Linked DNA regions of Rhinolophus ferrumequinum. The protein of the gene in region 1 purifies or fractionates together with the protein of each later gene. This does not show direct contact. Links are inferred from orthologs where the notes say so. Each region holds a gene or a part of one and is shown on either strand. Other genes may lie near its edges.

Region 1 (7,708 bases):
CACATTCATAATTACAACACTATTACACAAACAATAGTCTGTTAAAGAATGAGAACTGACTCTGCAAATCAGTTATCCTCTCAATGAGGGGTAACAAGAGGCTACCTGCTCTGGACGAAGAAGCAGTAGCAGCAGCTCCTCGTCTATGTTTAATATTTACTTTTATGGCATAAAAATGTTTTTTAATCAACCTATTTCAACAAAAGATATTGTATTACCAATAAAAAGAGGGCTACAAGGAAACAACCAAGTTAATACAACTAATGTTTTCAAAAACAATGTCAGAAGTCAACATGTAGCCCTACAAAAGGGTTGCCAACACTTTTTATTAGACATTTGTCCTGCTCTAAAAGCATTCATCCTTTCTGCCGTGGGTTAGCAATCAAGCAGGCTTCCAACCAAGCTCAAAGTACAAACTTAAAATTTACCACCTACTCATCTACAATGATTATCAGCAATTAGTAAACCATGAGAGAAACAAAATCATGGACAGATGTACTGTTTCAATAACAAAAGTTTCAGTAGGCTGAACATACTATGTAGCCCATTTATGGGGTTTTCATTTCACTGCTGCTTGTAACTTAGAGTGATAGTCAAACTTTTGAATTGTTCACATCTCTAGTTTCAGCAAGACTTAACACTCCTCTTCCCACTCCTCCCAACAACCAAGAAAAGGATGTATGAAGCTAGTTTTCTTAAGCACCACATCTCAAAATACGTTTAGAGAAACTTGCTGAGGAGGAGGAGGGAACTATTTATGAAAACAGACTTCATTTATATGAACAATTTTTATTCCAGTCATCACTAGGTAACAGTTGGAAGCTCAATTCATAGTTTCTTAAGTTTTAATACTGGAATATACATTTTTCTACCTAATAACCTTGGTAAAGGAAGCAGTCCGATAATTAGTCCAAAAGAAAGAACACTCTTGAATGCTTCTTGACACGCGAACACTGTTAAATGCCTCATTTTTTCATGAGCCACATTTTTAAAAACTTGGTTTTTCCTGAAAGCTATTTAAAATGACTATTCTGGCCTCTGGGAGAATCTCAGGCCTGGGACTCTAAATTACATGCTACTCTAAACTTTCTAGTACAGTTTTTTATTTCCCCCTCAAGGACCTCAGACTTAAATAGTCTCAACATTCCTTTAATCCTATAGAATAGCCTTCTGCAAGTTTTTCAAGTTACTTTTGCAATCACTTTAGGGCCTTGCCCTTGGACGTGGCCTTCAGAACAAAGACTAGGTCAAAGTAATGAATATCGGGGGCAAATTAATCAAATTTTGTGGAAGGATATTATCAAATGCACTTTATTGTTCCTCTTTTTTTAATCCAGAGACTTTGTGGTTTTAAATGTAAAAGTAAAGTAAATGCAGCAGCAACCTTAGGTCAGACAAAAAAAAAAAAACAAAAAAAATCTCCAAAATACGTTTATGTCACTAATTTAAGCAGATACTAAACCGTAGTAGCATTATGCAAATAACATTTTAAGCTATGTCTAACATTTCCTAGAATGAGGACTAGTTAACACGAAGACATATGAGGGTGTTGAATGTTTACCGAGAGGCAATAATGAAACGGCTTCCTAAATTCCAGACAAAATACTTAGTAACTTAGCCATCCGAAAAACATTAGCCTAGACTTCATCAAAGGATAGCCGTCTCTTCAAGTTGATGTCTAGTCTAAGCCACCACTATTCATGACACAAAGCTCTCATTTCACGAAAACCACTCCTCGATTTCCTTTTGCCGACCTCTGCATACCAGCAGGCCGGTCTCTCTTCATTCACCACTCACAACCGGGGGGCGGGTGGGGGGCAGGCCACAGATGTCTGAAAGATACAAACTAGGAGACAATACTCCCTCCAAAAGGGAACAGAAAACGAAGGGAACAACTACCCCCACCTGCCAAAGCCTTCCAGTTTAGCGGATTCAGAAGAGGGCTGCGAGAAACTTCCAAAGTCTCCGTTCGAGTCCTCTTCCCCAGGCAAAACAATGCAAGAAGTTGCAACGCCTGAATTTCCCTCGGCCCGTTTCGTAGCGAGGGAAACATTCACGCCGCTGAAAAGCAAACGTGCTCTAAAAATCAAGTTTCGCTGCCATAAAACTAGGGGAATAAATAATTCCTCCGAACGAGATCCTCGAAGCAGTCGGGGGCTGCACCCCGCGCCTTAACTGGTCAGAAACAGGAAGGCAGGCGCCCCAGCCCGCATTCTGACTGGGGTCTCACGCCCGATGCCATCCATTGCAACTCCCGGGGCACCGCACGACGCTTCACTCACCTGCACGGCACAAGAAAACATAGGTGCAAGACACGGATCTCCTGTGTGCAAATCCTACTGACGCATCGCACCGTTTGCACTGCTAGTTTGGTTCCTCTAAGGTTTAAAGTTGCTTCGATTGAAACAAGCGCCAGTGCCAAACTCAGGCGGAGCGTGGAAAAAAAAAATACTAACAATTCTCTTAAGAATTTTCCTTAAGGACGAGGGAGGGAATCTGGAGAGAAAGTCCACTAGCCCTATCCCCACGGCAGAGGGGACCCAGGGTGGTGTCCCAGGCCCGGCGCCCGTACCCCAACTCCCCGCTGGGAAGGCGGAGCCCCCGTCCCCACCCCGCCCCCCACCCCGGCCCCGGCGCATCCCGAGGCGCAGGGTCCCTCCCCCAAACTCGGCCGCGGCCGGAGCCCCTGACGGAAACCAGAGTCCCGCCGCCCCCCACGCCAGCCATCCCAGCTCTTGGACGCGCCCTCGCGGCGCCCCCTCCCCGCCAGCGGCGCCCCCAAAACCCCCGAGAAGCAGGGTGACCGAAACCCGGGCCCGGCCGCCGCCCTCCGCCCCCGGGTGCAGCCCGCCCCCGCCGTCTCCCCGGCGCCCCCAGCTCCCCGCTCCGGGCCTCCGGGGCTGCGCCGAGCCCGGCTCTCAGCCGCCGCCGCGATCGCGCGCCCTCGACGAAGTTTGGCTCCGAAGAGGGAGCGGGAGCAGCCCGGAAGGGTAAGGAAGGGAGCGCCCAAGCACCTCAGGGGAACAGGCTGCTCCCGCCGCGGGAGTCCGACCGTCCTCGGCCTGCGGTGGCGGCTCGGCGGGGACTGGAGCTGCTCCTCGCACCGTCCTCCGTCTCCGCCTCCCCTCGCTCTCCGCTCTCGGAGACGGGATAACGCGGCTGCCACAGACCGAGAGGCTTAAAATGGCGCCGCACAAGGACCTCTTATAAGTCGCGCAGGAGCCGCTGTATCCTGCCGCCAGCGGCGCAGCGCGGAGCGTTCCGCCGCGCGAGGACAAGGGGCGGGGCGCGGGAGGACGCGGAAAGTAGTCCCCGCGCCGCGGAGCCGCCGGGCGCCGTCCCAACGCCCGGGGCCCGGGCGGGGCGCCCTCGCGCTCCCGGGACGCGGTCGGGGATGGAGCCTCACCGCTGCCCCGCCGTGCGGGACCGGAGGGCGGCCCGCGGGGGCGCCGTAGTTCGGGGTGGGCTGGAGGGAGGAGGCACCGGGATCCTCCACTGTCCCGAACCGGACGCCCCCGCCCCGCGCGTGCCCCGAGCCGTGAGACCCGACGCGGGGCTTGCCGCACGCTTTCTGCCGCCCGCGGGTGGCGGCATCTCGGCCCCGGCGCTCGGGGGCCGCGCGGAGCAGCCCGCACAAGTCCTGGGAGGGCGGAAGTTCGGGACTCAGTGGCGGAGGCGCGGGCGCTGAGGTCGCGGCCCGTGGGGCCACTGGCGCTTCTGGGCGCCGCCTCCGCACCGCGGTCGGTTGGGGGACTCGGGCGGGTTAGGGCTTCCGCCGCCGTTGCGGGAGGGCCACACACTCCCTGAAGGGCATGGCTCCCAGCGGAGCTGCACACCACCCCCAAGCCCCCCAGTGTCCGGATCGTGGGTCCCGCATCCCACCCGTCGGCTCAGCCTGAATCTGGAAGTGAAGTACCGGGCGGAGCCGCCTGCTACCCCCACTCCTGAAGGCTGGGAACTCTTCGTTAGAATGGGCGCCTGGCCCCGTAATTCAACAAGTCGTTATGAGTACCTACTGTGAACAAATGACGGATGGAAATGGGCTAAGTGTACAGCCCTGTCAATTAGGTTAATTCTTATAGATTCCGCTTTTATGTGGGTCCACCGTGCTACTAAGTATCAACAATTTTTTTTTTTTTTGCGGGGTGGGGGAGGTTGGAGAAGATGCATTTCTATGGTATTACTTATTTGAGAGGTCCAAGTATGTTGTGAATGGAAGGAGCTATACCGATTAGGCAGCTTCTCATTTTTTAAAACTAATTTTCTATCCTTCAAAAACATTTTCTAATTCGTTTTAATAGGCTGAAGTTGGTCTTGATTTCCCTTGGAAATGTCTCCATTGTAATCCAGCAAGATTGGCGTTTGTCAAAGCTGAAACAATTATGATCGATTCACTTTCTCTAGCCTGTCGTTTTATGCTTATTTTTCTCCAAAACGATGGAGAGAGTACAAAAAGCAACAGTGAAAGTTATCTTGAGGCTTTTATCCCTGTAATTAATGCATGCAAACAATAGGTCTTTATAGTAGGTACAGGCAGGAAACCCACTTCCTCATTCACTCATGGAGTGGGACATGTAGTTTTAGGCATAGCTAATGCTTCAGGGCCCAACAGGTTCTTTATATATATATATATTATATATATATATATATATATAAAATATATATATATATAATATATATATATAAAATATATATATATATAATGTCTTAAAGATATGTTCCTATATACAGTGGTAATGTCAGCTGCTATCACCATAGCACATGTGGGCCACTGCAGTGGATAAAATCCACATACTGACTGAGATGATGTTCGTTGAGATCCATTGTCTAGAACGACTTTTACATTTGTATCTTTGCTAGTAATTCTGTGGAAGTGTTGCAAATGGTTGTGGTTAACCGGGCTGCTCATAATTAAAACAGATTGAGCAGAAAAAGGTATTTCATCAAAGCAATGTTTCTAATATAAACGTTTTCGAAAGTGTAAATAGCATTTCCAGGTACTAATCCCCAATTTTAATTCTCGTACACAGAATTAGGGAATATACAGTTGATTTGATTAGCCATACATTTAAAATCAGATGACTGATTAATCAATATTGAAAGATTTTTTTTTTTTTTGTACAGATGTTCCCTTTTTCTGTGTTCAGTTTCTTGGTTTTTGTTTTTTTGCTAAATAAGGCACACTGTTAAAACTGTTTAAGAAATATTTGCACTATTAGAACACCTACAGAATAAAAACTCTATATTCATATTTCTCTATTCAGGTGCCAAAGTAATTGAAGGACTTTTCTATAATTTAGATGTCTTAACCTAAATTTAGAATTAAGATTTTTAAGTCCCTAGTAATACTTTAAGCAAACACACAGTATCAAAGGAAATATAAAATTTGCAACAATGCAGCAAGCTGTTTTTCCCATCAAATTTAAGTGTACTGAAGAATTACTGGGTGACTAGCATTAAAAAAAATTAGTTGAATTTAACAAATTACTGAGAATTTGTATTTACTTATCTCAAAAAACAAATTGTTTCAATTGTCTGACCAAAAATATGAGATGAATAACTTCTGTGAAATGAAGACAAATGCCATCATTAAACCAATGAGAAATACAACAAAATACCTGATGAGTTGGTGAAATAAGTGATTTTGTAAAACAACGATTCTTAAAAATTAACCTTGGGCAATACGTTTTGTGAAAAATACTTGATTATCCTTGTACACATTTTCCTCCTAGAGCCAACCACTTGGGTTTGACATAAGTTAGTTCATTTTGTAAAACTGCAAAAGACAAATGGTTCTAAATTTCAGGCTGTATTCCTAGAAACCAGAAGTGTCTTCAGCTGGTTTAAAAGAGGAGGCATTACTTGCCATAATATCAGACCATTGGCACATCAAGCAGTGACTACATGGACTCTGAATACAAAGCATCCTCCTTCACTAACACCCATCTTTTGAATCACCTTTAGGCAAAGAAATAAATGCCCAGATTGTTTTTGCACTTCCGACAGAAACATTAATCCGGGCAGCACTTTAAAGAAGACCCGTTCACTTTCTGCACAGTTAACTCTATCAAATCTATTCATTAAACATTTATTGAGCACTAAGACAATAAGCTCCCTTTAGAGGGAGATGGATGACTGGCTCCTTTTGATTAGGTCCCTTAAAGTAATATAAAATTGTAATTGTTAATCAACCTTACTTGAGAGTCAACAGAAACAGTAGAAAACAGTGAAAGGAGGGTGTGGCCTCTGGACTCTATATCCGAATCTCTCTGGGAAGAATCCTCTCCCAGCAGAAAGGTAAGACTAAGTAATACTCCATGCATTTATGAACAATAAATCCTAACTCTCTAAGAATGCCTGTTAAAAATATTTCTTTTGACAACCTGAAAACACTGGACAGTAGTCAAGATCAGCTTTTCATTTAGCAGTTCACCGAGTGGGCTATTTATGGATTGGAACTTTTTGATTTGCAATACATCATCTCAGGGTTCACTGTTATCTCTTGATTTCTTTCCAGCTGAACAGGCTAAGTAGTTGTAAATACTTCTTGTCAGACTACATGGTTGGCTATTCTCGCACACAGGAGTAATCTAGGAACCTACTGGGCAAATTCGGCAGAGAGCTACTGTGGAAAGCTTGCATCTGGTGTGCACTGCAGACCAAGGGAGGGGCGGTGAAGTTGGTGGGAGGCGATGGCCTTGGTGGTGGCGGTGGCAGCAGCAGTGGTGGTGATATTCCTGGCCGCTTCAGTTATGCCAGGAACACTCTTCATGCTGGGGGTTATGTGTTCTCCAGGCCTTCATTGGTTTGACACAACAGTCCTTGCCAGACTAAGGGAGTACATTTTAATGGCTACCACAGAAAGTGAAGGAGAAGCAATGGACACATCATCCACTATAATCAAAGAGCACAAAGGTGTATGTTTTGTCAGTGTTTCTAAGAACTAAGATAAGTACGGCTGTATTGCGTAGAAATTATGCTTTGGAGATATAACCCCCCCAACATACAACACACACACACACACACACACACCTCTATTAAAAATTTCAAAATGGTTGCAGATATTTCATTCACAAGAAGGTTAAAGGCGTTTCCCATCGAAAGAAGGATTAACTTACCCGAGGATTCTGGGACTGCAGATGGATACTGCGGCAAAATCCTAAATTCATCGAAAAAATCATTTCTGGACTCCAGCTGCTAAAAATAATAGAATTATAGTAATTCATGAATAAGATTAGAACAAGCCATTTTTCACATTCCAAAGTGTTCAGGAAAAAAAAATGATTCTTTTCTTTTAACTCATTTCTTAAACAATGCAAATTTTAAAGTAGCTTTTCTTTCCAGAGCACGAAGCGCCATGAAATCGATAATTTTTGATCTTTCGGTTAGTAGGCAACATGGTGAGCTAGTTGCAGGGACTGCAGGCAGCAGACATGTTCTTGTCAGCTCAAAATTTTCATATTGTTTTTGAATCCATTGAGATTTGTAGATGTGATATCACCGTTTTTTGTCTTAGCTGGCACTAGGCACTAGGGACGCAAACCCTCAGTTTATCGACCTAGGCATGTCTATTGCTTTATATATATTAAAAACAGGGAGTCTTACTGGATCTTAAACAAAAAATTATGTAAAAGGAGTGGCCGGTGTGATTATAATCCCATCATGCAGGGTCCACGGTTCCCATTTAGTGAAATTTCGCAGAGGGCAA
Region 2 (7,440 bases), on another chromosome or scaffold:
CTCTAGCCTTTGAAGGCCTTTACCCATTCAGGGGCACTGCAAACATGCTGGATACATCAACTAAGTGCCTAAAGTCCCAAAGATACTAAATGCTGCTAGAAGCTAATCTGATTCCAGCTGAAGATGCCACTATCCATTTATTCATCTATTTGGGAGTGAGGCGGCCCCAGCTTAAAGCCAGGAGGAGGTAGCACAGCAAGTCCATTAAAAAATACCATGCAGCGTACCACATAATGCTTTAAGAGCACCAAATCCCCATACGGGCACAAATTCTACAAGGCTAATCTAGCTACTGCACCAAGTACCTGGATCACTGGATACCTACCACTACCACCGCCAAAGCCGCCTCCGCCTCCTCCGTTGTTATAGCTGTCATAGCTGCCACTCCCGCCATAGCCACTGCCCTGGTTTCCATAACCCTGTCCACCACTTCCATAGCCTCTGCTTCCTCCAGAGTAACCAGGGCCGCCTCCTCCATAACCACCTACAAGAATACAATTCTTCTCAATAAGACAAAAGTATTCAACAATCAAAATCTGTTTAAGCATAATGGGTAACAGCCTGGTCACATGCTGTTATAGTCAGAGTTCAGCTTGTCATGCACTAGTTTTAGTCTCTACTAACCTAGTATAGACTATAGGTTACCACAAACTTTCCACCCATGTATTCCTAAAGAAACAAAAACCACACAAACGTACCATCATTACCAAATCCATTATAGCCATCCCCACTGCCACCATATCCTCCTCCTCCACGACTGCCTCCAAAGCCACCTGGAAGAAAGTGGAGTTTTAAAGCAGGTTCGGAGTACGTGCATCACATATAATTATAGCCTTTCAAGTCTACTTCAGGGAGCAGTTCCTGTACTACTAAAATGATTTCCACACCAAAGATTTTAACTTCTGATTAGCAGAAACCAGAACTACATTTGGATAAAACTGTAACTTTAGAAATGCCAGTCAGTAGTTACATAGAGCTGCAGGTTGTAAAAAGCACAAGTCAGGCAGGTAATTACATCACAAGCTTACCCTTAATTCCCAATAAAGCAGAACCACATGTACCTCGACCACTGAAGTTTCCTCCACGACCAAAGTTGTCATTCCCACCAAAGCCACCTCCTCGACCACCACCGAAGTTTCCAGAACCACTTCGACCTTAAGAAGAGATAAGTGTTAAACCACAGATTGTAATTGCTCAGTTACCTTTATTTAAGGTTTAACTAAAAGCAACAAACCCACCTCTTTGACTGGATGAAGCACTAGCCATCTCTTGTTTAGATAGGGCTTTCCTTACTTCACAGTTGTGGCCATTCACAGTATGGTATTTCTGAACTAAAAAATTTCAACAATGAAAAGGGACAATTCTCAGGGTTTAGAGAAAGATATGGATTTCAAACCCCTTGGTAAATACCAGTCATCTGATACTCACTGACAATCTTGTCTACAGAGTCATGGTCATCAAAGGTTACAAAAGCAAAGCCTCTCTTCTTGCCACTGCCTCGGTCAGTCATGATTTCTATCACTTCAATTTTCCCATACTGTTCAAAATAATCTCTTAGGTGATGCTCTTCAGTGTCTTCTTTAATACCACCGACAAAAATCTTTTTCACAGTTAAGTGGGCACCAGGTCTTTGAGAATCCTAAAGGAAAAATCCAATTAAGTGACTTACATCAGCAAAATCAGTATTAAAGTTTGCCAACATCCCTGAACGTAACATCCACCTAGTAGCACACTTCTATATGACTAACGGAAAGAAAAAACACTTACTTCTCTTGAGACAGCCCTCTTTGGTTCCACAACTCTTCCATCCACCTTGTGTGGCCTTGCATTCATGGCTGCGTCCACCTCCTCCACAGTGGCATAGGTGACAAACCCAAAGCCTCTGGAGCGTTTGGTGTTTGGGTCTCTCATCACCTGAGATATTAATTCATTTAACACATATTAAGACTCCAAGAACTACTGTCATTTCTACCTTGGATAAGGTAGCAGGAAACTTTATACTAGCCCTCATACAAAGCCCTTCAACTTAATCTTACCCATCTAACAAATCTATTTACATCTTAATCAGTTAAAGCCTCACCTTCCCTTGCCAAGTTACTTCCAACTATAATCCTGTTAGCAATCTTCAAAAGCATTCGGACAGTAAGTATAACAAGATAAGCCAATGAAATCAACTAGTTCCAGTGCTCTTTTGTCTCTTCCAGGTCTTACCACACAGTCTGTGAGCGTTCCCCATTGCTCAAAATGGCTCCTCAGACTCTCATCGGTTGTTTCAAAGCTCAAACCTCCGATGAAGAGCTTCCGCAGCTGTTCAGGCTCTTTGGGAGACTAAGAGTGGGGGGGGAGGGAAAGCGTTATGTCGGTCTGTATCGCAAAACATCTTCCAATTAAGAGAAACGAGACAGCAACGTACATAGCACTTATTGTTCCAGAGGGTCGCAGCAAGCCACGTGCTTCTCCCCATTGGGGAGGCTCTATGTTGGGGGCTGGGAAACGGCGAGCGCATGCGCCCCTACAATCCCTCCGACGCACGCGCCAACAAAAGGTCTGGGCGGGAGGAGTGCATCGCCAATAAGGGACCACAGCTGCTTAAAAAAAAAAAAACTCGCCCACTGAGACGAGATAAAAATCGTTCACTGTGCCTAAGAGTTTTACCAGGAGGACCAAACCCGGCGTGATAACTAAGGGTTGCAGAACGGCGGCCTCATGGCGACGACGAGGACAAAATGGCGACCTGAACTTCGGGAGGGGTAGGCCCTGGCAGTGACCGAAGAACTGCCGAATGGGCTGGCGCAAACAACCAATCCAGGCCGCATCCAACCCAACTCAGAAAGGAGCGAGGAAGAAAATTAAGTTGGACAGAGCATCTTACCTCTGACTTAGACATGACGACCGCGGGAGGGGTGACTTTAACGATGCTTACTCGGCGGCGTCCACCGACAGAAAGGAGTGATCTAACGAACGTATCTGCCAGCCTACCTTCGGCCTCGCTGTTTTATCCCGCCTCCTCGCTTACGGCATTGGTAGACTCCGCCCCTGAGTAGCTCTGACTGGATATTTGAAATAGCTTCCTGCTACTATTGGACTGTGGTGCCGCATTGCTGTGTAACGTCATCCGTTTGGGCGTTCTACGTAGTCTCCACCCCTTGGAGTCCATTGGTTCCCGTGTAATGTTACTCCTGACTAGTGTGATTGGCTAGCCAACCAATCATTCATATTTGAACATCCTGAAGGTATTTGAATAACTTTTTGGCTCTCCACGCCCCGAATATTACATTCTATTCAGTTGTCAATTTATGATTAATGCAGTGTATTAAAAAATAGCATATTAATTTTATTGTTTGCAACAACCGCCTGCTGAGCGCATGTGTAGTAAAATGGCGAGTTTACGCAGGCGCAATAAGAAGTTCCGCTTGACTCTTGGAACACGTGAAATGGCGGGCGGGAGACGGCGGCGAACCTACAGCGCCTGCGTTGTGGCGGGAGTTGTGCCTCGTTTTGCGCAGGCGTAATGGGCGGAGAAAAAGGTCTGGTCCCAGGATTGGTCGCGCAGGCGCAGGGAAGGATCCGTTTTGGCGGGCGGTTGGCGTTGCGCAGAAGGCGGCGGCAGCTGTGGCTTGTGGTCCGGCCTCACCACAGAAGAACAGGGAAGACATTAGCGTGAGTGATCGGTCTCGATCCCGGGTAAGTGGCGGACAGTCTTGCCTACCCATACGAGGTCTTGAACCGACTCCAAATGGGCCCGTTATTGTGTGAAATGAATGGACCGCGGGGTGGGGGCTAGCGGAGGGGGAGCGGTGGGTCCGGCCAACCAATGGAAGAACAGGGGCGGGATGTTTTATCCCTGTAAGTTCTGTGGAGCTTTGCCGTCTAAGAGTTTGACTGGCGAGTGTATAGGCCAATTGGGTCTGCCTTTAGCTGCCGACTGATCGGTCCTTGGGCCATCGGAATGTGGGAGGCGGGTTTTCCCCTTCTGAGCAGCGTCTCACTAAGCCAATGAGCACGAAGCGCGCGGTAGGTTGGGCTCCTCTAAGAGGCAGCGGTTTGACTCCAATGGGAAATGCGGGAGTTGGGCGGTAAAATGGATGGACCAAATCTGGAGCCAGTAGGAGGACAACCTACTGAGAGCGCTCTCCCGGGTCGTCCAATCAGCGCTCCAAAAGACGGAGGTGCTGGATTTGTGTTGATGAGGAAAGGGATTCAATGCCTGTGATGGCGCTTCGGGATGGATATTTTATCCACTATGACTTTTCTAACGAAGCCTTTAGGCCTCCATCGCATAAGCCTCCCTGGTATGGAAACGATACGTTTGCTCCTGTGTACGTCGAGTTGGGCATCCCCCCGCCCCCTCCAACACACACACATCAGTACATCCCACCATCCACCATAGGTTTTGGGGGGAGCAAGGAAGAAGGTCTTTTGACTTTGAGAACTAGCTTCTTTAGGAAGACCGACTTGAAATGTTAGAACAAATAGAGATTGTACTGTCTTGAAAAGGTGCCTGAGGAATATCTACGTAATAATACATATTTCCACATACAACTCGATATTTGTAAGTCCATAGAAAAAGTTTTGGAAAGCTACAGACCAAAGTGTGTTACCCCCAGGAATACAGTGGCATTGAGGCAGATTAGATCTCTAATGTTTAAATCTTTGCAGGGATAATAATAATTTGTGATTAAAATTAAAGTCTGTTGATTTAGGGTGTTGGGGACAGAAGGGCTCATCCATCACCTGGGTTAGTTCATTGCCTTTTGATTATATTTCCTTAAAAGTGTTTATTTTTAGATGCAGTCCATTCCCTGTTGGTAATGCCCATTCTGCTTATTCCAAGATTTTTACTAAAATACAGAAATTTTCATTACATTTTGGCTGTATCAGAATATATACTGCTTTACTCACTGATGTATTTATTTAGAGTCAAGGGAAAAAAATCTTTGAATACTGCCGTGAGTTCAATTGCATATGAAGTATCCTTATGGTTAGAGAACATTTCTGACTTATAAAAGGTGATTTTAGTTGAGATATGAACAGAGAGATTTCCATGTTCTCTGGCACTTCCCAAAGGACAAACCTATTTCACGTTGTTTATAAAGTATTTGTAGGTATGCTCAAAATGCGGCTCCTTAATTTTTAAGAATTAAAAGGATATAGGTTTGAAAAGAATAGTCTTGATCTACAGGGTTTCTTAACTTCAGCACTATTGACATTTCCTGCAAATGCATCTCACCTCTCACCCCCATTTTTGACAATCAAAATGTCTCCTGACACTGCCAGATGTCCTGGGGGTTGGGTGTTTGGGCAAAATAATCCCCAGTTGAAAACCATTGATCTAAACTGACATGCTAGAGTTGATTATTTTGTCAAAATCTTTTACCAATTGGAAATTAGAGGGAGAAGATGGGTGGTGATGTGTTTAGGAGGTGGTTTTTAGTAAATGGATTACTAAATCCTAATGATTATCTCTTCAGATATAGTGTTCCATTGGATAGAAGGAAAATTTCATTAAGGTGTTTACTATTTAAACATGTTTGATTGCATCTTCTGTTTGGCTTTCTAAAATAATGGCAAATACGTTTTTTTAAAAAGATATACTTGCCTCAGATGCTTCTTACATTTTCACCTGAGTTAAGCCTCTTTCCTTTATTGGGATTCTTTTTTTTCTTTCTTTTTTTTTTAGATTTTATTGGAGAAGGGGAACAGGACTTTATGGGGAACAGTGTGTACTTCCAGGACTTTCTTTTTTTTTTTTTCCAAGTCAAGTTGTTGTCCTTTCAATCTTAGTTGTGGAGTGTGCCTTTCAGCTTCAAGTTGTTTCCTTTCAGTCTTAGTTGTGGAGGGCGCAGCTCAGCTCCAGGTCCAGTTGCTGTTGCTAGTTGCAGGGGGTGCAGTCCACCATCCCTGGTGGGAGTCGAACCGGCAACCTTGTGGTTGAGAGGATGCACTCCAACCGAGTCATTCGGGAGCTCAACGGCAGCTCAGCTCAAGGTGCCGTGTTCAATCTTAGTTGCAGGGGGCGCTGCCCACCGTCCCTTGCGGGACTGGAGGAATTGAACTGGCAACCTTGTGGTTGAGAGCCCACTGGCCCATGTGGGAATCGAACTGGCAGCCTTTGGAGTTAGGAGCATGGAGCTCTAACCGCCTGAGCCACCGGGCCGCCCTTTATTGGGATTCTTTTGGATCAATGTCTCAAACCTTTTTAGATGTTGACCCTTAATAAAAAATATATTTTATATTGACCCTGTACACACATTGAAACAAGTTTCACTGTACAAATAAATGTGCAAAGCACTCTTGACATTTTTGCATCTACAGTACACTATTTCCTTTTTTTAAAAATACAGGTCATTTTCTGCTGAACTGATTTCACAGCTCTGTACAGATCCACAGTTTAGTGAAAAAAGAAAAACAACTGGTCTAAAGAATAGGTAACTAAATTATGCCGCCTTAGATTATTCTCTGTGTGAGATTATTCCTCCCATCTTTGGCCCCAGCTACTTGGATTTATAAACAAATTAATCAGTGAACCCTTATTTGATGTCTGATATATTTTCATTTGAAAGATTTCAGGCTTTGAACATAGAGTTCTTGGTTTATTGTGGTGTGCAAGTAAAAATTGCTTGTTTTACTGTGAATTCTCTTAAAATGTCATAATAGGCATGATGAACATTTCTCTGGTGGGTAAATTTTAGTGGGTAATTTTTCATTGAAACTCTGAGACTATCACGTTGTCTAACTTCAGACTTTTTTCATTGCCTTTGTAGAACCTGGTTTGGTTGTTAACACGACAAAATGTTGAGCCTGAGTTACAAAAATTAAATTTCAAGCACCTGTGCTTAGATCTTAGAGGCATACTATTGCAGCCAAACCTGAAAGAGAAAATAACACACCTTCACTGAAAACCAATCAGTAGAAAGCTTCTATCTGGGTGGTAGGTGAGCAGGGTGATGGTTGAACAAAAGAGAAAGAACATCCTCTGAAGTGACTGGGTTTTTATATGTCTAGGAAAGTTTTGGTGGTTTTAGAGCCCTGACAGTAGTTCTAGAAAAGGTATCCAGGGTACAAAGGTTTGGGAGGAAGGCTAGTGTTTTTTGCTTTTATTGAGGTATTTTATTTAACCACATAGCATGATTTATATATCTTATTAGAATAGCCCATGTAACAACCCCTGGTAAAGCATTTCTTTCCTTTTTTGTTCTTTTACTTGGTCTATTTTTATTTCCATTCACTTGACATGAAATTGGGCCTAAAGCTGTGAATATTGATTTTAAAAGTAATAAATTATAGTGTGAGATATCACTTGTGACTGACTCAGTATGGCTGCTATTTACACATGAACTTGGACTCAGCAATTTTTTTTTTTTGTGACATAAATTTGATTTTCCTTCCCTCCTTATAGAGGATGGCTTTAGCTGATCATTTGTACTAGTGGGAAGGAGT
Region 3 (7,687 bases), on another chromosome or scaffold:
AAAGTGGGCAAGAATGGAAAATCCTTTTGGATAAACTTTGATGTACTTAGCAGCACATTAAGTATCTGACCATTCAACAACGGAACTACCCAAAAGGCCATCCTTTGGGCTCCATCTTGGAAACAGCAAGATGTATATACTGTGTTTCCCCTAAAACAAGACTTAGCTGGAAAATCAGCTCTAATGCATCCTTTGAGGCAAAAAATAATTTAAGATCTGTCTTATTTTACTATAAGACCCGGTCTTACATTAATTTTTGCTCCAAAAGACACATTACAGCTGATTGTCTGGCCAAGTCTTATTTTCGGGGAAACACAGTAGTAGATCAACCTTTTTGTTAAGTCTTGTGTTAATTTGTTCCTCTGTATAAAACAAAATCTGCAATAACCTCATTCAACAGTAGCAAAGTTGCAAAGCCATCCAAAAAGTTACCAGTTTCAGAGACAAGCTTCAAAGCTGAACTTGCCTGGTATGATCTACTTTTCATATGATTAAAGACTTTTCACTCAAAAAAGGCAAGATTAATGAAGCAAAGGAGATCTGCAGTAAAAGAGCATTTAAATCACAGTTGTTTCCACATTTCTCACTTCAGGTAAGGCGATTTTACAAGACTAAAATCAAACTCAACTCTTTATTAGTTCTTAAAAGAGTATTAGTAACTTTCATATCCCATGACACTTATTTACTCTTTCCCACTGTAGAACGAATTTCATTTTAATTAAACAACAATCTCCTTGATAGATTTTTACGTAAATTGTTTCTCTCACTTCTACATTAACGAATATTCTAGGAATTGTATTAAAACCAAAGCCATAAAATTCAAGCTCTGTTTCAATAGCAGAAATAGATTTTTAGACCACGAGTAGAAATGTGCTAGTGGTCAGTCACAAAAATATTTGCAGAAGCTGAACAGCTGTGTCTACTGCAAATCTGAAGGCATTGCTGCAGCAAATCTAATTCAATTTGGACTCATTCATTATAAACTGATTTTCAGATGCTGCTACTGCAAAGCCGTACTGGAAAAATGCAAGCTGCGCCCGGAGACAGAACTGTTCCCAGAGGCGACAAGTTCTTACTGCCAAGGAGAGCTCTAAAAGAGGAAATACAACTAGTTCATAATGCTACCATGAACCAGCCCAGAAGAACCCAGAATTATTAAATGAATAGAAAACTAAAATATTTCTCTTAGGCAATTGATAATGATTACCTAAGGAAGTTTACAGGAAGCTGCTTAATGAGAAAAAGATTTATTCAGTATCCTGCTAAAAGAATTGTTTTTGAAAAACCGTAATTCCTGTGTTCCCTAATATTTTTCATACATCTACACTGTAAAAGTAACACGAGCTCAAATGGCGATTGCAGCCCAAATGAATCTATTTAACTTTTTTTTAAGGTTATACATGTGAAATTAAACACACCACAGTAACTTTTAGAACATCCTGCTAACAAAGTTTGGGATTGTGGAAAATGGAATGACTCGGTTGACCAAACAACGAGAGTTTTCAAGATAACTACTAATGTGCTCCCAAAGAGCACAGAGCACATTCCAAGAAACTTCTAAGTCGTAACTCATAATCTGGCTGTTGCTGAGTGTCTTCTGGTCACAGCGTTGCGAATGTGTCACCAATTCAGAAAACACTTGGGGTCCCCTTTCGGCGGCACTATTTGCTTCTCTATCCGTCAAACTTACCCTTTGCTGTCATCCCTCCAGACAGCCACGCGTGTGTCGACACACGGCGGCAGAGGGAGGAGTATGGAATCACCACGCAAAACAAACAATCTCCTCTTTACTTTTTCTCCCTGGAAGTACCACTCGGTTTCCACGCGAGAAAGGTCCACCAACTCCGGGGAACCCGAGTACACCCGGGCATGTGAGGCCCAACTCGGGTTCCACGACAGTCTTCCTAAAAACTTCCCGTCTCTGGCGGAGCTCTCGGGGAAGGGGCTGCGCCGGCCTCCACTTCGGGGAGCTCCGCACGCCCGCCAACGAGTTCGGCTCTCCGGAGGACACTCACCTTCGGGGGGATCTGACAGCGACCCCCGGGGCTCCCACCCCCGCTCAGCCCCCTCCTCACCTGTGCTGTCATTAGCCGAGAAGCCGGGCGAGCTGAGTTTGGCTCTTTTGGGGTTGGGCGGTCCGTCCAGCAAGTTCTCGGCCATTTTCACCTGCTCGCTGAAACAGCCCCGAACGCGGGCGGCGGGACCAGCGAGTGCTCCGGAGCGGGGGTCGGCGCCGGCCCCAGCCGGCTACGAAGGGAGAGCAGCGAGCGCGAGCGGCGAGCCGCGAGCGAGCGCCGAGGGAGAGGGAGGGCGCAGGGCCGGGTGGGGGAGGCGGCGGCCAAATCTCAGCCACAGCAACAGCGCCCCGCAGCGCTCACCGCCCGCCCCCGGCCGCTGCCGCCGCCGGCCGCGGCCCCCTCATCCCCTGCCCGCCTCCCGAGCGCGACACTCCGCGGCGGGGGCGCCCCGGCGGCCCGGCCGCCCCCACGGGCCCGGCTGGTAGCGACGGCGCCCGGCTGGCCGGCTCAGGCAGTCCCCGGGAACATGGTGCCGCCGCCGCGCCGCCGCCTCACTCCCCCCCCCCCGCGCCCCACTTAATTAATTCGCTCGCGGCCCGACGACCGGGGGGCTCCGGGCTCCGCTCTCTGCCCGCGGCCCGCCGCTGCCGCCGCCGCCGCCGCCGTAAGAAAAAACAATGCGCGAAGCGGGGCCGCCGCCGCCGCCGCCGCCACGGCCCCCCCACCCCCCGTTCCGCCGCCGCCGCCGCCGCTGCCGCCGCCGCCGCCGCCGCCGCCGCCGCCGCGGCTCCGGGAGGCCGAGCCGAGAAGCGAGCGGGGCCGCCGGAGCGGGCGCCGAGGGCCGGGCGGAGCGGGCCGGCCGGGCGGAGCGGGGTGCGCGGGCGGTTGTGGGGCCCGGGACCGGCGGGGCCGAGTAGATCGCGCTCGAAGCCCCGGTCGGGTCCGCGACAAGATGGCGGCTGTTGATTCCTCAATTAAAAAAAAAAGAAAGTTTTTTTTCTTCTCTTTCCAGAGCCTGAACGGGGAGGGGGAGGGGGCGGGGCACGCCGGTGCGTCACCCCCCCGCGGCGTCACCACGCACGGCCCCCGCCCCGCCCCCTCCACCTGCGCCGGCCCGGCGGAAAGAGCCGAGCGAGCTCGGGTAGTAGGGCCGAAGGCGCGGCTGCGGTGTGTTGCGCGGCGGGGCGGCGGCCGGGCCTACGGGACCACGGACGCCGGGCCCGGCGGACACTTTTGTTCTGACCGCGATTGGGCTGCCGGGCCCCGCCTGGCCGCGGACCGGACCCCAGGCGCAGAGTCGGCACCGGCCGGGCCTGTCCGTCCCTCTGGGGCGACTCTGCCGGGTCCCGGCTCCTCACTTCCCTGCCCGCGATGTCCAGGGCGACACGAGCCAAGCCTGGTCACTTCCCCTTGCCGGATGCCAGCGATCTGTCGTGGCCTCTACAGGTTACAGACCGCCCTAGGTCCGCCTGCGAGCTTGTGCAAATGGGGAAACTGAGGCAGGAAGTGGCAGGGCCGGGATTCGAACTTCCGCTGTCAAAGTAAAATGAAGGGGACGCAAAACTCCTGAGCCCCTGCTCCCCAGCCCAATGCGACGGGGTCCCAGGGGCCGACTCCTCACCTACAAGGGAAGGTGGTGAGCGCTGTTCCTACCCTGGGCTGGGGCGCGGCCAGCCTGTGCCAGGCCCAAATGGCCCCTTACATCCGGGCTTGGGCCCTGGGAACTCCGCAGGAGATCCAGACAGGTGTGGGGTCCGGCTAGTATAGCCACTCCCCGCGGGACAGTTCCACAAAAATCTAAGGTTTGCATCCCAGTTTTATCTGTTCCTCCGACTTGCCTGGCGCCTCATCCCGAAGTCCTTATCTGAAAGGTATCACCAGCAACCCTGTTTCCTAAGCCAGAAACCTGTGAGTCAACTCAGACTCCTCCCTCTCTCTCTCCACCCACCGTGCAGCCAGTCTGCCCACGTCCTTTACCTGGGGAAACGGCTCTTCCTCCCCATCCCACTGTCCCAGAGTCGTTCAGCATCGCCCGGGTGGCAGCTTCCCAGTTAAACGTCCCTTGCGCTCTACATTTCTCCCCACGCAGCACCAGAGTTAACTTCCTGGAAAAAAACGGAAAGAACTCTGTTTAAAATAAATAACTCCTACACATAGGGAAAAACAAAACACACACACAAAAACTATATATATAGTCTTTAAAAAATAAAAAAAGAACATGTGTATAGTCTGTTTAAAATATGTGTACCAAAAGAGATTGTCTTCCAGTGTCAAGACTGAATGATCTACTTTTTTCTATTTATATTGCTCAAAATCTTGTACTGCCCCCACCCCTTGCTTCTGTCCCTTCCACTTTCCATCCCTCATTCCGCCATCACGTCCCTTCACCTGCTCAGCCATTAGGAAGTTCTCATCATTCAGGCCTTTATGTATTTTTGCAAATACTGTTCCCTGTGCTGAGAATATATATGTCTGGCAAACTCTAACTCACCCTCCAAGACCCAGTTCAAATGTTACCTACTCCAGGAAGCCCTCCTAGCCCACCTAAAGACTCCCACAGCACTCTGGGCATACCTCTATGAGGACACATCCCACAGTATGTCATTATTTTTTTTATCCATTCATGTTTTATTTATCCATCAAATATCCCTGAGAAACTCCTGAGGTCACTGCCGTTGGGCTAATCGTTTGGGTAAAGAAGAAAGAAAGGAATCCCTATATATTCAAGGATGCCAAGTAGCAAGCCTTGGAAACCATAAACAGAAGTATGTAAGAAGTCAATTTGCAGAGCCAGGCAGGAAGTGTATCGAGTCACAGAGTAACATAGGGCTGGCAGCATCCTATACCTGAATGTACCATGTGTGTCCCTCTCATGATGAGTCTGCGGGCCCTTTGAGAGAAAGGGCCATGTCTTACTATGTACAGTGCCCTCCAAGAAGTAGGTTTGTAACATGAATGAATGAATGAATGAATGAGTGAATGAGTGAATGAAAATGAATAAACACTGTCAGGTCCCCTGACTCCCCAAGGCTTTCAGTGCCCCCTGAGTCCTAGAGGCCTCCAGGCTCCTGAGAAAGGTGGGCTCCAGCCCGAGGCAGTTCCAGGCCACAACCCCACAGAGGAGACAACACGTCAGGTCACTGAGAAGCCTCAGTCAGGGTCTACCTTGGTTCAGTAGGGTTACCACCTGGCCCTCAGGGTCCCTCAGTAAATTATTTACACAGCCATGTGCACATGAACTTGCAGCATACCCCCATCCGTGGGCAACTATGACACAGGTCGTGCCCCATTTTACAGAGAGGGAAACTGAGGAGACCCAGTTCAAATGACCCAGAGGTAAATGGCCTGGATATGTCAGAGCCAAGGCAGAAACACAGGTCTTCAAACTCCAATCACATGCTCCTCCCTGACCACGTTCAACATTAAAACATGTCTCATTTGTATCATTTTGATCAATTCCTCTGGTATTTCCTGACATCTGCTTTTTCTTTCCTATTTCTTCTCCCCTTGTTTTGACTCTTCCAAAAACGTTGTGCTCAGAATTGATAGGGGAATAGCAAGGAAGTTAGCTGTCTGCCTGCACATCCTTAGCTGGGGATCAAGGTCAACATAGATAAAAGGGACCCAACACTGTTGAGTCCCTTCTGTATGTCAGGCCACTTTGCGACATGCTGCACTTGGATCAGCACTTCCCACAATCCTGGAAGGAAATATCATTGTCTTCATTTTATAGATGAGGAAATAAAGCACAGAGGAGGGCAAGTCACTCAGTTACTAAGAAGCTCAACTAGGGTTTCCAGGCAGGAATTCCTGCCCGTTCTCAGGAGTTTTTTTCATTTTCCCGTTCCCGAATCCCAAGATATAAACTGTTTTCTGTTCTCCATGATGAATCCTTTCCACAAAGTGACAGCCAATACTACCAACCAGCTGGGTTCAAGGAGCCGATTTTCCCGATTTCCCGACCAACTTTTCTCGGGATTTGGGAACGGGCAAGTGAAAAAATTTCATGAGAATGGGCGGGAATTTCCACCCGGAAACCCTAGGCTCAACTGGATTGCAAACCTAAGGCTGCCTGCTCTTTCCACAGACCTCACCCTCTCTAGTCAATCCCAGAGGCTACAGGACCAAGGAACCCCACTTACAGAATGCTTAGGGGCCAAGAGAATGAGGTGAGGAGGGGCCAGCAGAGGAACAGAAGGTAGAAATCAATCAGGAAAGATTTCCTGAGAGAAGTCCATTTGAATCCCTCAGCCGATGAATGGATACACATACTGTGTTACATCCACACAATGGAATAGTATTCAGGCATACAAGGAATGAAGCACTGACACAGGCTACAACCTGAATGAACCTTGAAAACGTTATGCTCAGTGAAAGATGCCAGTCACCAAAGACCATATATTATATGTTTCCATTTATATGAAATGTCCAGAATAGGCAAATTCACAGAGACAGAAGGTAAAGTAGTGGTTGCGGGGGCGGCGGTGGGGGCAGGGGCTGAGGAGAGAGGGGAGATAGTGGATGGTAGTAGCTAAAGGATATTGGGGTGATGAAATGTTCTAAAATTAATGATGATGATAGTTGAACAACTCTGAACATACCAAAAACCATCGAAATTTACACTTTGAATGGGTGGATTGTATGGTATGTGAATTATAACTCAATAAAGCTTGTTTTTAACATATCAATTTAGAAAGAAGGAAGAGAGACCAGGAATGACGGAGGGAGGCAGGGGCTCCCAACAGAGGGAAACAAGTCAAGGGGCCAGCTGGTGGAGCACACAGAGATCGGCACGGTGGTGCCAGGAGGAAGGCTCCAGGAGGGGTAGATTTGATGTGACTGGGATTTCCCAACTGGGGGCTGAGGGATGAACTGGCACACAGTAAACGAAGACCGAGATTCACAGACTGAACTAGAAAAAGAGGAAACTGAAGAGGAGAGGCTTTCCCCCCACACTCCAGTTGCACAATCAGCTGCCTCCTGCTTTGGACCCCAGTGGACACCTCACACCCAGTGGGCTGCACACAGAGGCCACAACCCTCTTCCCACACCAGCTCCTCCTCACGTTCTCCCCGTCCCAGGAACACACCCCTCTCTTCTGTGGCCTACCTTCCCACCTCCCCTGTCCAGAACCTTTACCCCCTCCCCCAATGACTCCTCTGGAGGGTTTATTACCCTCCACAGGGAACCCTTACACGGCTCCATCTCTTCCATTCCCAGACAAACTGCTTGACCAAGTTGTCTATACCACAGACCTCACCCTCTCTAGTCAATCCCAGAGGCTACAGGACCAAGGAACCCCACTTACAGAATGCTTAGGGGCCAAGAGAATGAGGTAAGGAGGGGCCAACTTGCTTCCTTTGCTACCATTCACGGTTTTGATTTTTTCTCACGAAAAATTTCATTCTGGGTGATGAACACACAATGTGATTTATAGATAATGTAATACAGAATTGTATACCTGAAATCTATGTAACTTTACTAACAATTGTCACCCCAATAAACTTTAATTAAAAAAAAAGAAAAAAAAAGAAAAGTTCCAAACAAGTAGAAAATAATACATAGACGCTCTGTCTACGTGACTAAGGTACACAATGTTAACATTTTGCCACACCAGCTTCAGATCTTTATTTTACTTATTTAAGAAATAACATGTCAGAGACAGAGCT
Region 4 (7,564 bases), on another chromosome or scaffold:
AAGTCAGTGTGGGAGAAGCAGAATCAGCAAGTGGTAAAGGAGAGTCAGAGAGTGAAAGCTCAGGCTGAACCACTGGCAGGATGCAACTGCAGTTTGCTGAGATGGAAAGATTGCAGAAGGAGCAGGTTTGTTGGGGAAGGTCAGGAGTTCAGTTTGGGATAATTCTCACCATGACCCATCAGTAGGAATTACTAACTCTAGAGGGCTCAGAGAAATTAAACAACTCACCCCAGGTCACCCAGGCAGTTGTTTTCAGAGGAAAGATTCAGACTCAGGTCTGCCGGCCCTAACTTCGATGCCATGGGGCCTTCTCCTGGTTGGGTGCTGTGTGGAAATCTGGAGAAATTGTTTTCTGATAGTCCTGATCCATGACCCCAAAGAGAGAGGAAAGGGTTAGTGGAGAGTGAGGCAGGAAGACATCAGAAAAAAGTGAGGATGCCAGGGATTCCACAGGGCTGTCAGTAGCATGTGTTTAAATGTGAGATGCAGACAAAGAAAACAGGGAAGGTGCAATTCTTTTTGAAAGAGCCAAAAGACTGAAAGAGTCCTAGCCCTGTTCGGGTGGAGTGTGTCAGGGACAGTATGAATGTTCTCACTGCGGAAGAAGGCTATGCTCTGTTGGAGTTGGGAAGGCCCTGAGCAAGTCTTCCTCCACAGATTGTCCCCAGATTCGATGCTTTCTCATCATGGCAAAGCTATCTCCCCGGATTCCAAGAAGCCGACCCTGAGACAAGGATTCATGTGCTTTATTAAGGAATGACTTATTAACAAGGGCCTCTCACGAGTAGGAGAAGCAGGATAAAGAGGGCAAGAAGCTGAGGAAGGGTGTGGTTTCAGAGCAAGTCCCTGGAGGAAAGCTTCAGTCTGACCCTGCAGGACACAGTGGGTGTAAGTTACCACTGGGAGTTTGTCTGGGAGAAGGGAGCTGGGCTTCCACACTCCTGTACCAGTTGGTCATTGGCTAATGGTCTGGGAAGTGAACTCCTGGGCACTTCCTTGCAAGGGCAAAGGCACCCCAATAGCAGGAGGACAGGGCTCTGAAGAGATTCACAAGTGCCAACTGCCAGGGACATCAGCACATAGAAGCCAAGGGAAAGAAGCTCAGAAATAATTAAAGGAATCCCAGGGGATCTTAGTGGTGTCCTGATCCACTACCATGTATCTTCCCCGTCTCAGGAAATGGCGGTGCCATCCTGGTGGTTGCTCAGGCCCCAAACCCTGTAGTCATCCCTGACCCTCTCTGTCTCTCACACCCTTTAGCCAATCTTGTGGTCAGTACCTTCAAAATATACCCAGCATTTGATCGCTTCCTTTTTTTTTTTTCAGGAATTTTTAAAATTGTGGTAAAATACACAAAACATACAGTTCAGTGTCATTAAGTACATTCACATTGTTGTGCAGCCATGACCCATCCTCAGAACTCTTCATCTTGCCAAACTGAAAGTCTGTACCTATTAAACATTTTGTTTCTCCATTCATCGGTCGATGAATGGAGACCGAAGCAACTTGGGTTGCTTCCACCTCTTGCCTATTGCGAAGAATGCTGCTGTGAACATGGATGTACAAAAATCTGTTCAAGTCCCTGCTTTCAGTTGTTTTGGGTATATACACAGAAGTGGACTTTCTGGATCATGTGGCAATCCTATTTTTAATTATTTTAGTAACTGCCATAGTATTTTCCATATAGTGGTTGCACCATTTTATATCCCCATCAACAGTGCACGTGTTCCAATTTCTCCACATCCTTGCCAACACTTGTTATTTTCTGTTTTTTCTTTTTTTTTTTTTTTTAATAACCTCATCATCTCTTACCCCTTCCACAATAACCATCCTGAACCAAGCCATTTCAGTTTTTGCCTGGATGACTGCAGTAGAATCCCAACCCATCTCCCTGCTTCTGCCCTCATCCCCTGTAGTCTTCTCAATATTACTCCTCTGTACACAACCTCCAGTGCCTTCCTCCCTTCCCACTCAAAGCCAAACTTTGTAAAAGCCAGAGTTCTTAACAATGGCCTGTGAGGCTCTCCAAGATTAGCTCCCCACTTTCCCAATTCTGACTCATTTCCTGCTTGCTAGATCTACTATAGCCACACTGGCTTTTTTTTCTGTTCCAAATAATCTATCCAGTGCCTTGGGGTCTTTGCCCTGTTTTTTACCTGGAATACTCTTTCTTCAGGTATCCTTAGGGTAACTTGTTCCTTTACTTCCTTCAGGTTTTGTTCCAATGTCCATTTCTCACTGAGACCTCTGGGCTTCCTGATTGCTCATCTGCCCCGAGCCGTTTTCTGCCTTTCTCCACCAGGTGCTGTGCCTGGGGAGAATGATTGCTATAGGACCCACCACCTGGGCTGTCTTGCCTTCAAGCTTCTGGATGGGTTTGGTCCATGGGAGGCGCGGCCAGGAGATGAAGGGCAAAAGGAAAGAGATGTTTGGGTTATTTTTTTCCCTATGTCCCCTATATCCTCCCTGCTCTGCTCTGGGCAGGGTCCTATCTCTCTTGGACCACAGCTGCCTTTGGGAGGAATAGCCCTCATTCTCCAGCTCTTCCCTAACCCCCCCACTCCCAATGACACCATTTCCTCCCTTTGCCCTTAAGTCCTTAGAGTTGTAATGCTTTTCTGCTGTGGCTCAGTACCCGTTGGTTCCCTGAACCCTCATCATTCCTCTCGCTGCTTGACTAAGTTAACTTGAATCCCTCCTCCTCTCCACGCTGGATTCTGTCTCCTGCTAGACCCTTACTGAAACACCTTCTAGATCACTTTATTTGCAATTTCAACCCTATCTTCTGCCCTGTGAATTGGCACGTCACATTCTGTCCTTATTCTTCTACACGGCAGATATTATCTAACATAATATATATTTACTTGTTTATTTTCCTCGATCCCCCACACTCTCAGGGATGGAAGGCCCAAGGGTGCAGGGATGTTCGTTCACGATTGTATCTCCGGTGCTTGGCGCATAGCAGGCAAATATTGAATGAATGAATGGATGGATGAACGATCGGCAAGGGAGCTGCGGAGAAGACAACAGTGTGGTCCAAGTTGCAGGCAGGAGAGCTGACTCTCAATTTCTCCTTTCCTCTCCCCGCCTCCGCCCGGAATGCTGAGTGCCCTGGAAGGAGGCGGAAATGAGCGCGCTCCAACAGCCCTCCAGCCGGGTGTTTACTTAATTAGGACCTGTATCCCGAGGCTCGTTTGTGTTTAACTGTCCGCTTAATGGCTTCATCTGGCTCCTGGCGGGCGAAGGGGAACCTGCGAAGCGAGATAGGCGGAACTATGGGGTACATTCTGGGACCTGCCCCGTCACGTTGTGCCCTTGCGCGGGGTTTCTAACCTCCCCTCTCGCACGGAAATCGCCCCCTGCGGGAGAGCGAGGCGAGGGAGGCGCGGAGTTGAGCAAGCTGTCTCCAATATTTCTGCGCTTTGTCTACCCCCAACTCCCAACCCCCACCTGCGGAACCACAGGCCGGATAACCGGGCGCTGTGGTGATACCAGATGCCAATTACTTGCTATACCATGAGCCGTGAAATTGAAGAATTACAGCGTTTCTCATTCTCTTAGTCGGGCGGGGGGGGGGGGTGCTGCAGTGGAGAGAAACGGCTCGCGAGGCGGAGGAAGACAAATGAGCCGGGTACTAAAGCAACACCAGTAAACATTTGGGCACTTGCTCTGTACCAGGTACTGAGTTGAGGGTTTTAGACGTGTTAATTTAATCCTCGTCTGTATGTATTAATTCATTTAATCCTAGTACTTCAGATGGCAGATGTCACACAATAGCCTCGTTTGTTACATGCAGCACTGCAGTTCAGAGGGGTTATTTCACTTGGCCTAGGCCACAGCGCTAATAAGTGGTGCAACCCTGGTTGGAACAGAGGCAGTGCGCCCCAGAGCCGATGCTCGGTTAGACAGAGGACTCCCTGCGTCGCAGCGCAATCTGTCCTACTGTCGGCCACAAGCCTGGTGATGGGAAGGACAGGCAGGCCACCCGGTTAGCCCTTGAGGGCCAAAGGATCTATAATTAGAGACTTTAGTCTCCTAAATCAGAGCTGGGGAGGGGCCTCAGGGGAAAAGAGAGCCTGCAGAGTGGAGCGATTGAGTATAGGGACAGTTTCTGCGCCGAGGGCCCACTTGTGTGTTGCGAAGAGAAAAGCACTTCAGGTCCCCCGCATGTCTCCCAGGAAGGGGGAAGGTGAGTTGTGTTCAGGGAGGCTCACGGGAAGGCTGCTTGCTTTGCGCAGTTGTTACTTAGATTATATTCAGTATTTCAGACCAATAAAAAGCCGCGTCTTAAAAAGTGCCTTTAAATTGAGAAAGTGTTATTTATGTTTTATGGGGGGGGGGGTTGTTGCTGGAGATTATGGGGCTAATAATCACTCCTCTACCTCGCGCCCTTTGGCGCCACCACGGCTTCCGAACTCTGAGAACTTCTCTCCCAGCCTCCATTTGTCCGGCTGTGCAAGAGAAGTAATGCGTCTTCTGCAAGTTACAGCAGATTTTGTAGCGCGGTCCCTCGCGACTTAACTGCGTTTTAAACCCTCGGAGTCCTCGGAGCGGGCTGGCGTGGGAGGTGGAGAAAGGCAGGCGGCAGACCTTGCTGCAGCCGGGCATGGGGCGGACAACCCGCCTCCATCAAAGCTTTGGGTAACAGTGTCTGGGGGTAGGGGGGGCATGAGTGGGGCGCCTGTTTCCGTTCAGGTTCAAATGCCTCTCCCTTTTTTTCCCGCTATAGCCACAAAACACAGCAACACTTTTCTTCGCGTGCTGCGGAGGCTCAGGGGTGGGGTGTACTTTTCTTTGCTGTTTTTCTCGAACCTAGAACCTGCGAGACGCGGAGTTCCTGACAGGAGCAGTTCGGGAAAAGCCGAGAGAACACAGGAAGGTGGACTAGAGGCGCTTCGCGGGTGCCTGGACAACGCCAGCCGCGGCCCCACCTGCGAAGGGGCGGGACCTTACGGCGCTGGACCAATCAGCACCTACCTGCGCTCACCTGGCCTCCTCCCGCCGGTTCCCGAGAGCTGCGGTGCTCAAACGGGCGCGGAGAGCCTACTGGAGCGCTAGCCCGTGGTAGCGGTAGCTTCTTCACCTCTCTCCAGCCATGGGGCTCTCTAGTGGAACTCTCGCGTCCCTCCTCCGCCTCTTCCTCCTACTCCAGGTACCCCACTGCCTCTCCTAGCCCGGGCCGGGACACTCCCAGGAGGGCGGGCGGGGTCCGCATGCGGCGGTGTCGTCCGGGAGAGCGCGGGGCTAGGCTCCTTGAGGCCACAGTAGCCTGAGAAGCTCCGTAAGTAATCCTGGGATGGGTATACAGTGCCGGGAACGCCTGTAACCCAACCTCCCTCTTCCCTGCCTTCCCTCAGGCGCAGATTTGCTGGCTGCCATGCGCGGCTTCCGAGCCGTGTGGGACGGGCTTCGGGGGAGCTGAAGTGACCTTGGAGGCGGGAGGCGCGGAGCTGGAGCCGAGCCAGGCGCCGGGGAAAGGTAAGACCCTCCGGTAGCCCACCCGGTGCAACCGCAGGCTGCGGGGCGGGTGGTCTGCTTCGGTGTGGCTCGCACGAGGTGTGTACAGGCTGGGGCTGAGGACTTAGGGCGCCCCCTCAGGTATGGGGGAGGCGCAGAAAGCATCTCGGGGGCTGGGATGGGGTGGGCGTCTGACCGCGAACGCCGAACAGTGTAGCGCCCTCTGACGTCCAGCCCCTCTTTGCCCGGCTGCGGCGGCTTACCTTGACCCCCTCCTCCGGGGTGCGGGGCAGCTGAGCTTCTCACCCAACCGGGGTGTGGGAGGTTTTTCCCCGCTGGCCTCAGCGGAGGAATGCGAGGTCCACATTCTTCCCCCAGCCCCCGCGCAGGTGTGGGGATGAGTCTTGCCCCGGGCAGCCCCCTTCGCCCCTCTCGGGCCCCCTTTGTGTACCTTGCTTTGTGTCTCCGACAGACAGACCGGGTCTGTTTCTCTTCTTCGCGCTCCCCTCCCCCGCCCCCCTTCTTCCCCGGCAGCTGGAATGCACTCTTAACCCTGCCCTTCCCGGAGGGTCTGCGCCCCTGCAGCCTGCCTGGAAACTGGGTCCGGCACACCTGGGCTGGGGCCATCACGCACTGGGCACCCACTTCTCCTCTTCCTCAGTTGTTTTCGGAGTGGTATGTTAGGGCACTTGGGGGAGTGGGGGTCCCAAGCAAGAAGGTCTTGAGCTGCGGGAGAAGTGGATGGGAGATCAAAGCACATATTTGATCTCCATTTACTTGTTTATCTCCCCTCTAGTTCAAAAACTTGAAAGGGGGTCACTTTGGTGCGGAGAACCAGTGTGTTATGAGACCCAGGCAGCTGCCTGCTGATGGGGGCCTCTTTCCCTCCACGCAGGACTGTGTGTGTGGGGGGGGAGGTCTTCCACTGGACCAAACCCAAGTTCTTAAACAGAGATGTAACTCAGTATCCTTGGGTGGGGTTCCAAAGGTTTCTTAAGCTGTAAAATTGTTTAAGAACATTTTTCTGGAGAGGGGATCTACAGTTTACCTGGCTTTCAAAACAATTAAGAAAGTTATCACCAAGCATTTTTCTCAGCCCCCATCAGCATACCGCTGACCCCAGGTACAAATTCCCACAGCTTGCTGGTACCTAGAGGAATCGAAGGGCTCTCTCTCCTTTGTTTCTCTGAAAGAAGACTGGGGACCATGAGCCTGTAGCCATTTTCTTCTTTCCCAAATAACTCTGCAGATTGACAAAAACAATTAACACCCAGGTTAGGCCAGGCTCCTTAAACTCTTGGCTGTAGGGAGAGGAGAGGCATTAGGAGGCCATGCCTCATAAACTTTAAATTCTTGTGCATGGGTTTATTACTGACTGGCTAACAAACTGCAGCTCAGCCAACCTGTAAAAATGTTAACTTGGGCCGGGCCCCAAATCCAATTCCGGCTCCCTGAGGAAGCTTTATTGCTAACCAGAGCTCTGCCAAAACTGTAGCCCTCCCCCTCATTGTCAAGTTCTCTGACTATAGTCTTGGAGAGTAAGCTGTGGCTTTGAGTGTTGTCTGTGCTTTATCTTTCTTACTGAAGCAAGAAATATCAGATTAACTGTCACTTCACTAAGCTTGAGGTTGTTGAGGGGAAGCGGTGATCAGGTTTTCGATTTCATGGTCCGGTTGGCAAGTGCTTCCAGGTGACGTCAGGCATTTTAAACCTTTTGAGAAAATTCTGCTTTCTCGGATGTCTGGTTTATGGTTGTGAAAAGGGTGGGTTCATGCCAGGAGCACACCTGGGTTATAAAACAAAGGGTGGGTTCATGTGCTTGGCTAACCTTGAGCCTCCATGCAACATGACTGGTTCTTAGAGCAGTCTTCCCTTGAAGTAGGCCGCTGCCATTTTTAAATAAAAGCAAGTTTCTGGGCTCACTGGGTCCCAATAAATGTTGGGATCCCCCAACAGAAATGCTGATATTTCTCCCCTTAGTCAAGTCAGCTGCCAACATCTTTCTATCTCCCTACCTCCACCCCCCACTTACTCCCCCAGTACACAGGATGGATCCAGCCCTGTTGAAAGGTTATCCTGAGGGGATGTACAAACTCTCAAGTTTGGC

What was found.
Region 2: the proteins of CTNNB1 (region 1) and HNRNPA1 purify together in Homo sapiens (affinity purification with mass spectrometry; 3 studies listed by BioGRID, with this or other methods). This does not show direct contact. The link is inferred for Rhinolophus ferrumequinum from reciprocal best matches to the Homo sapiens genes CTNNB1 and HNRNPA1.
Region 3: the proteins of CTNNB1 (region 1) and CREBBP purify together in Homo sapiens (affinity purification with western blotting; 10 studies listed by BioGRID and IntAct, with this or other methods). This does not show direct contact. The link is inferred for Rhinolophus ferrumequinum from reciprocal best matches to the Homo sapiens genes CTNNB1 and CREBBP.
Region 4: the proteins of CTNNB1 (region 1) and CDH3 purify together in Homo sapiens (affinity purification with western blotting; 7 studies listed by BioGRID and IntAct, with this or other methods). This does not show direct contact. The link is inferred for Rhinolophus ferrumequinum from reciprocal best matches to the Homo sapiens genes CTNNB1 and CDH3.

Annotation. Positions count from the first base shown.
Region 1 is NC_046300.1:12,305,309-12,313,016, forward strand, and holds the start of CTNNB1 (catenin beta-1), read right to left. Parts: upstream 3,175-7,708; 5' UTR 3,015-3,174; intron 1-3,014. UniProt on the Homo sapiens protein: Key downstream component of the canonical Wnt signaling pathway.
Region 2 is NC_046293.1:54,024,947-54,032,386, reverse strand, and holds the start of HNRNPA1 (heterogeneous nuclear ribonucleoprotein A1), read right to left. Parts: upstream 3,031-7,440; 5' UTR 2,888-3,030; coding exon 2,873-2,887; intron 2,329-2,872; coding exon 2,212-2,328; intron 1,915-2,211; coding exon 1,768-1,914; intron 1,640-1,767; coding exon 1,429-1,639; intron 1,332-1,428; coding exon 1,239-1,331; intron 1,155-1,238; coding exon 1,062-1,154; intron 774-1,061; coding exon 699-773; intron 485-698; coding exon 326-484; intron 1-325. UniProt on the Homo sapiens protein: Involved in the packaging of pre-mRNA into hnRNP particles, transport of poly(A) mRNA from the nucleus to the cytoplasm and modulation of splice site selection.
Region 3 is NW_022680357.1:5,205,671-5,213,357, forward strand, and holds the start of CREBBP (CREB-binding protein), read right to left. Parts: upstream 3,003-7,687; 5' UTR 2,161-3,002; coding exon 2,076-2,160; intron 1-2,075. UniProt on the Homo sapiens protein: Acetylates histones, giving a specific tag for transcriptional activation. Mediates acetylation of histone H3 at 'Lys-18' and 'Lys-27' (H3K18ac and H3K27ac, respectively).
Region 4 is NC_046298.1:18,007,145-18,014,708, forward strand, and holds the start of CDH3 (cadherin-3), read left to right. Parts: upstream 1-4,524; 5' UTR 4,525-4,641; intron 4,642-4,816; 5' UTR 4,817-5,095; coding exon 5,096-5,152; intron 5,153-5,357; coding exon 5,358-5,478; intron 5,479-7,564. UniProt on the Homo sapiens protein: Cadherins are calcium-dependent cell adhesion proteins. They preferentially interact with themselves in a homophilic manner in connecting cells; cadherins may thus contribute to the sorting of heterogeneous cell types.